Linked DNA regions of Cricetulus griseus. The protein of the gene in region 1 purifies or fractionates together with the protein of each later gene. This does not show direct contact. Links are inferred from orthologs where the notes say so. Each region holds a gene or a part of one and is shown on either strand. Other genes may lie near its edges.

What was found.
Region 2: the proteins of Dcaf4 (region 1) and Cops5 purify together in Homo sapiens (affinity purification with mass spectrometry; 4 studies listed by BioGRID and IntAct, counting the BioPlex papers as one, with this or other methods). This does not show direct contact. The link is inferred for Cricetulus griseus from reciprocal best matches to the Homo sapiens genes DCAF4 and COPS5.

The regions. Positions count from the first base shown.
Region 1 is NC_048598.1:120,188,340-120,191,859, reverse strand, and holds the end of Dcaf4 (DDB1- and CUL4-associated factor 4), read left to right. Parts: intron 1-68; coding exon 69-183; intron 184-1,421; coding exon 1,422-1,654; 3' UTR 1,655-2,744; downstream 2,745-3,520. UniProt on the Homo sapiens protein: May function as a substrate receptor for CUL4-DDB1 E3 ubiquitin-protein ligase complex.
Region 2 is NC_048595.1:150,156,236-150,160,057, forward strand, and holds part of Cops5 (COP9 signalosome complex subunit 5), read left to right. Parts: intron 1-2,597; coding exon 2,598-2,746; intron 2,747-3,822. UniProt on the Homo sapiens protein: Probable protease subunit of the COP9 signalosome complex (CSN), a complex involved in various cellular and developmental processes.

The DNA.
Region 1 (3,520 bases):
AAACCTGGTAGTCGCCGAGTTCCTGGTACACCCTTCCCGAGTAACCCTTTGTGTGCTTCTTCTCCCAGATCAAGCTGTGGGACCTGAGGGCCACCAAATGTGTGAGGCAGTATGAAGGACACGTGAATGAGTATGCCTACCTGCCCCTGCATGTGCATGAGGAGGAAGGAATCCTAGTGGCAGGTGTGTGGGGAAGGGGCGATCCCATCCATCAAATGCTGTCTGTGAGGGTGCTCACATCTTAAACAGCAGAGGGGGAAAGTGGTATAAGTAATGGGAATTATGGGCCACTGACAGCATCACCTTAGAAACAGGCAGGTGATGGACGGACACAGCAGCTGGGGACTGAGTTGGCTTGGAGGTCAGGCCTCTTTGAGTAATGGGATCCCATCAGGCACCGTCTTGTCTAAAAGCTGTCCATTCTATTCACATTCCCCTCAGAGGATGCCGAGAAATTAAGGGTACCTAAAGTGCTTGGATCCTGGCCCCTTCACATTCCCCGTGAGCAGCAGCTATCTGGCCACTAAGCCCTGAGGGAGTTGAAGTAACTGCAGATCATACTATTTCCAGGCCACAAAACAAATTCAGTGTTTCTACATATGGAACAGGAGGCCCTTGACATGGTCTCAGTTTTTACTGGCATGTGTTAATGGCGCCACAGACAGTACTCATTCCCTGTTAAATTCTTGGGGGCTATTACTGTGCTAGCACTGGGCTTGCTCTGAAAATGGTGCGCCTCGAGTCTTCATCTCAGAAGAGTTTTCATGTGCTGGATGGTAGACTAAAGATGAGCCCGCTGAGAGCCCCACACGGTGTCTGCACAGCTGCACTAGTGAACCACACACCCCAAGTGCATCCTCTGCCAAGGCACACTAAGTACCTACAGTCACTCAATCAGAGTCTGATTGCCAAAGCCCCCACAGACCTCTAAGAGCATACAGCATCTGGGCTGCCACAATCCATGGTGTCCCATGCCACATTGCTCAGAACTAGGAGTCCCGCAGACTTTTAGCTTGAATTCTTCAACCAGAAATAGCTGTTATCTGCTCTGCCAGGATGTAACAAAGTTGAGAGATCTTCCTGGCTAGTTCATCGAAAGGAACTCAGCTGCCTGGCATCTAGATCAGGTGGGCTGACTCCCACTTGAGAAGACTCCCTACCCATGAGCCAGGGAGCCGGCTGAGCCCCTGCTGTGTCAGCCAGCCAGTACATCTTCGTCACTTTGAACACCTGCAGCTAGCTAGGATTCAGGAGCAGAAGACCAACTTGTGGTCTTAATTTTAAGAAATACCTTCCACCCATGGATTTGTGTTTGGGCTTAGTACAATCACTTGGCCCTTCGAGGTCTTAAGGAGCCCTACATGCCGTAACTTTCTTGCATTCTCTTACTAACCCGCTGTGTTGTCTTTCCTCTTTCTTAGTGGGCCAAGACTGCTACACCAGAATCTGGAGCCTCCATGACGCACACCTGCTCAGAACCATACCTTCTCCATACCCCACCTCCAAGGCTAACATTCCCAGTGTGGCCTTCTCTCCTCGCCTTGGGGGCCCCCAGGGAGCCCCAGGGCTGCTCATGGCTGTCCAGCAGGACCTTTACTGTTTCTCCTACAGCTCATTCTGTCCAGGCAATCTGGAGGAGGACAGGTGGGAATGAATGGCAGCTTCCTTCAGTCTCTAACAAGGACATTTTGTTTGGTTTTGTTGTTTGTTTTTTTTGTTTTGTTTTGTTTTTCGAGACAGGGTTTCTCTGTAGACCAGGCTGGCCTCGAACTCAGAGATCTGCCTGCCTCTCCCCCTTAGTGCTGGGATTAAAGGCGTGCGCCACCACGGCCTGACTCTAATGAGTACTTTTAAGTGGAGCTTATGGTGTCCTTCCCGCTTGAGGGCAGTGCAAAGTGGTTGACATGGGGGGCTGGAGAGATGACTCGGTTGTTAAGATCATTGGCTGCTATACAGAGAACCTGGGTTTGACTCTCAGCAACCACATAGCAACTCACAACCATCTTTGACTCCAGTCCAGAGACGCCAACACCCTCTTCTGGCCTTAGCACCAAGCATGCATGTGGTACAGACCTAACATGCAGGCAAGACACCCATACACATAAAACAAAAATAGAATTTTTTCTTAGTTTATGTGGATGAACTTCAGTAAAGCAGCAGATAAACTGTGGGCTGGGAACATGAAAGGCCTTGTCACAAGAGGGATTTACTGGATTTTCCTATTGAGTTCCATAAGCAGCAACCCCACATCCCCCACCCACACCCCCACCCCCTTCATTGGCAAAGCAGACTCTGGAATGAAGACCAGCAAAACAAAATTAGTTAAAGCTGCTGCTTTCACCAGGAACTGCCCAGTGGTGGAAACTACCTGAGTGTTGAGTGCTGCAGTCCAGGAAGACCTGTATCTGCTCTAGAGAAGGCACCTGAGGTGCAGAGGGGCCGGCTTTGAAGCCATTACACGTTGCCATCTCAGTGGCAAAAGTCCTGGGCTCTTTTGTTACTGTGCAGGCATTGGAAGGGAGACGGACCCTTGCAAATGCTACGGCTTGCAACATCCATGAACATGCCTTTCCTGAGTTATCCAGGATGTTAGGGACACTGGCTTGTTACAGTGACTTGAGTGTCAGTTCTAAAGCCCAAGGCCAAATTTGGCTTTGATCTTTTTGTAATCTTGGAGCTGCAGTTTATGAAATATTTATAGTGTCTAAAATCCTTTCTACCTACCAATAAAGTCAAAAGAAGCATGTGTGTCTCCATCTAATTCAATCTTGATCCCTTAAAGCTGGTGAACCATCAAACTAAGCTTGCCAGTAGGGTAAAGAGACCCTAAGACCAGTTTCAATGGCTTGTTGGGGACCCTGGTGTTGCCCCTCCACACCACTGCCCTGCTCTGCTCATGTTCCAGGAGGCTGCTCTCTAGACTCTCCAGCCTCCCTGTCCCCAGCAATCAGTGGGAAAGCAGAGGCCAATGGAGCACTGGGCTGGGACTGATGATCCTCTGGCTCCCTTCCTGTTGGGACTTTGAGTATCTGTGACCAGAGGCTATGGCCCTTATTGGAACACAGCTCTCTATGTCCTATGACTATGCTATTTGTCTCATACATATAATGCTTATTAGGCACAATGTTCCCCAACTAAACAACTACCCATTAAGTATTCATCTTTTTTCCCCAAGACCCCTAATATAAGCAACTTACATGTAGAATATCACTATTCTTACTATCTAAAATTTTATATGATCCTTGTAACAATTCATAAAGGACAGGGAATACAAAGTAACATATTTATATCAGTGTCATCTTACAGATGAGGAAACCAGGCTCAGTGGTACAGAATGTGCTGAACAAGCAGAAGGTACTGGCTTCAGGCAAAAAGCTGGCAATTTTCAATTGTCCTCTTCAGAGGCCATAACCTAAGCAAAGACACAAGGATGACAGACAACAGCAATCTGAGAAACATAGGCTCTTATAATTGTAGATTGTGAGGACAAGGGGCGTCAGCATAAAGTAGCAATTTAAAG
Region 2 (3,822 bases), on another chromosome or scaffold:
TTCCTGGGCACACTTAGGTTCTTATTCAAGCAGTGTTAAAACCACAGCTTTCGTTCAGCTTTGCAAGGTTCATACTCCGGCCTCATTTTGAAAGCAGATGGCAGGCAGCTTTAGCTTCTGACCTCACAGCCTTTGTGCTTAATGTTCAGAAGATAAACACCAGCATACATGTCCCTGCATATTCTCAGGCATGTTTCCTGTGTTTGCTCAGCTTTGCTTAGATCACATATTCATCCATAAGACATGTCATGGGGCAGAGCAACAAATTTGATGAGTGACTGGGCCAAGGCAAGGGCTAACTGCTGGGCTGGTGTGAAAACAACTCTTTGAGGAGCATGGGGATTAAGCTGGAGAAGGAGGTCGTGGAAATCAATTTGATGATAAATACCAGGCAAAGAAAGGCATTAACTCAGTGTGTCCTGATACATCATTTAAAATCTAATGTGCTTATTACATGGATATATATTTAATAGGTACATATTTAAAACTTAGGGCAGCTTTTGTTTCCTGTGGTCCTGGCTGGCCTTGCAGTTGCTGTGTAGCCAAGGATGACCTTGAACTTCTTTCTGTCCCCACCCTCTCTGAGTGCTGGGATTATAGGCATGTGCTTCACATCCAGTTTTAGTGTCTGAGCCTTGGTGTAAAATGTTGGCAGTGACACTGTAAGTATTACTAAGTACACTAAGGTACTTTACATAAGTCATAACAAAGTTAGCAAGTGCCTGGCTTACAATGAAGTCTGGATGAATAATTACTAGTGTTTTGTTTGGTGCATTATATTCTTGGAAAGACTCCCTTGGCCCTATTTATTTTAAATATAATTTTGACAAGATCTGTATTACTAGAAGTAGCAGAATTAAAAAGAGAGCAGGCTGGGCACAGTGGCGTGTGTCTATAATGCCAGTCTTTGTGATTTGAGAGGTTGAGTCAAGAGGATCAGGAGTTCCAGGTCTTCCTCACCACGCTGAAAGCTAAAGGCCAGCCTGGGCCACATGGGGCCATCTTGTTTTAAACAAAAATAAAGGAGGAAAGCAATCATACTAGAAAATATTATGTATCCCGTGTGCCAAGCACTGCTAAGTGTCTTATGTATGTTGTTCCCTTAGAGACAAATATATTTATAGTCAGAAGTGACACCTGGTGGCAGGGAGAGAAAACTCTAAGACAATAGCAATAAAGGCAGTTGAATATACCTGCTTAGTCCTGTGACTGACTTTCCCTGTATTCCAGCATTGCAATATGAGGACATGAATAGTTGGGATGAGTGTAAATTATTAAGTGCCTTTACTACTAAGCTGACTCACCAGCCTGATACAGGGCCTTGCCTTATATATAGCCTTGACTAGCCTGGAACTCATACTATAGTCAAGACTGCCTTGATTACATTTATAGTTGCCAGTTTTAGATTAAAACTAAAAAGACATCTCATAGCAGCTTTTTAAAAATATTACAGTTAGCCCTTGCTAACATAGTGGTATATGCCTGTAATCAAGCCTGAGTCATTTGACACCCTGTCTCAAAACAAATAAAATGAGAATATTACAATTAAGCCTGGAGGTGTAATTTGGTGATTTGTAAAATACATACATATTTGGAAATGGTATGTGTAATAGATCCTCAAATGTAGGTATGAATGAGGACATATTGCAATACTCTGATAAGAACAGTCACAAAACTAGCTAATAATTATTAAGCCTTTCTTAGGTGCCCTGGACAGTCCTAGAGTTTTAAGGTGGAAATCATTGCCACCTACTTCCATTTTTAAGAGTTCCAGGAGGCGTGGTCCAGGCATTCCTCATAGCCTTCATAATGACAAAACTTGATTTAAGCAAAGGAAAAAATAACACATTTAATCTTGAAATTAGGTTCTAAAATTTTAAAATCAAATTGGTAGATTTTAGGAGCAGTTTTTATAGCTATGACCTAACTTCTTCACTGTCTATCCATCTTTACATTATTTAGATATAGAATGTTAAATTAATTTACATAAAAATTAGTGGATTTTGTCAGGCATGGTGGCGCATGCCTTTGATCCCAGCACCGGGAGATAGAGGCAGAGGGAATCCCTAAATTAGAGGCCAGCTTGGTCTACACAGCAAGTTCCAGAACAGCCAGGGCTACAGAGAAACCCTGTCTCAAAAAGAAAAAAAAAATTGGGTTTTTAGCCAGGTATGGTGGTACACACCTTTATTCCCAACACTAGGAATCAGAGGCAGGCAGATCTCTGTGAGTTCAAGGCTAGTCTGGTTTACATAGTAAGTTCCAGGACAGCCAGCGCTTTGTAGTGAGAGACTCTGTCTCAAAAATAAAAGCAAGTGTGTGGGGGAGTGGGTAGAATCTTGGGCAGTGGGGGTGTGGGGCTGGACAGAATGGGTGGTATACCTATAGTTCCAGCTCCTCAATAGAGTAAGGCCAACTTGGGCAACTAACAAGACCCTGTCTCAAAACAAATACAAAGGCTTGAGAGTATAATGCTGTAGTGGAGTGCTTGCTTATATCTACATGTCCCTGAAGGCAGGCTTAGCCCTGGAAAAAAAACAGAATATTTTCATGATGAGCCTATGCTGTGAAATGACATGACACCATTTTCTCCACAGAATGCAGACTATACCACTGGCCAGGTGTTTGATTTGTCTGAAAAGTTAGAGCAGTCAGAAGCCCAGCTGGGACGAGGGAGTTTCATGTTGGGTTTAGAAACACACGATCGGAAATCAGAAGACAAACTTGCCAAAGCTACTAGAGACAGGTAAGTGTTCATGTGCAGGTCCTGCCCTACTCTTCTCTCAAAATTTACAGGAAGTAAATCCTGATCCTGTGGTTCAGTCAGCTACAACTTGGGAAATGCCTGAGTATTATCACACTTTCAAATTTTAGGGGACATAAGGCAAAATAGAAAGCTCAACTCAAAGATCTAGGAATACCATAGCCACATGGTGTACAAGGAAAGCTGGCCCCTGACTAGATCTTTTTTCAGGGGAAGGGCTTCCAAAAGCATGCTTACCCTTTTCCTCGACTAAACATTTTCTGAAGAATTAACATTTCTTAAATTTGCCAAATTTCAGATTCCAGAATATTGTGGAAAAGATTCTCTCTTAAGTCGTTCTTTCTGCACTTTAGTATCTCATGTTTTACTTGCTAATTATTTCCTTGGGATGTGGTCTCTGATAACTTAGATGAGAATGTGACCATTGATGACAGAATGTACGGGTTGAAAACACTAACATTTACTGCCACAAAACCTCAAGTTTTAATCTGATACTGGCAGAAGAGAGAATATTTGGGCAGTTATAAGCTGGTTTGTTTGGTGGAGGGCGGGGGCTGTCTTCCCTCAGTTCATAGCATATTTCCACTCTTGGGATGTTTTTTTTTTTCCTTTTTCATAAGCTGTTTCTACTCCTTGCCAAACTTGAAAAGCAGAGCCTTCCTCCATCTCCTGGTGTCTGCCAGGATTTCCACCTGTACTGTGTTTTTCTCTTTAACACTAATGAAGTTGTCTTTGAGCATAAAGCAAACAAACAAAAGCACTGTTCTGTAGGGAGAAGGGAGGGGAAGGTGAAGTTTATCCTGCCACTGGAGTTAGAAGTACCTCATTCAGCTCATCCTGGTGGAGAAAGTGGCTCAGTGGCTCAGCACTTCAGCACTTCCCTGTCGGGCATAGGGCTCTGGTCCATCCCTGGCACCAAAAACCAAAACAAGAAACATGCCTTCTTTCAGAAGGTGCAGTGGCCACACATTGGCTTTGGCTGTCTCAGTGTGTGAACTCATGAATGTGTCTGCATTTGTTTTCAGTGCTGGGCATGGCACTGTGGCCTTGCTGCTGCT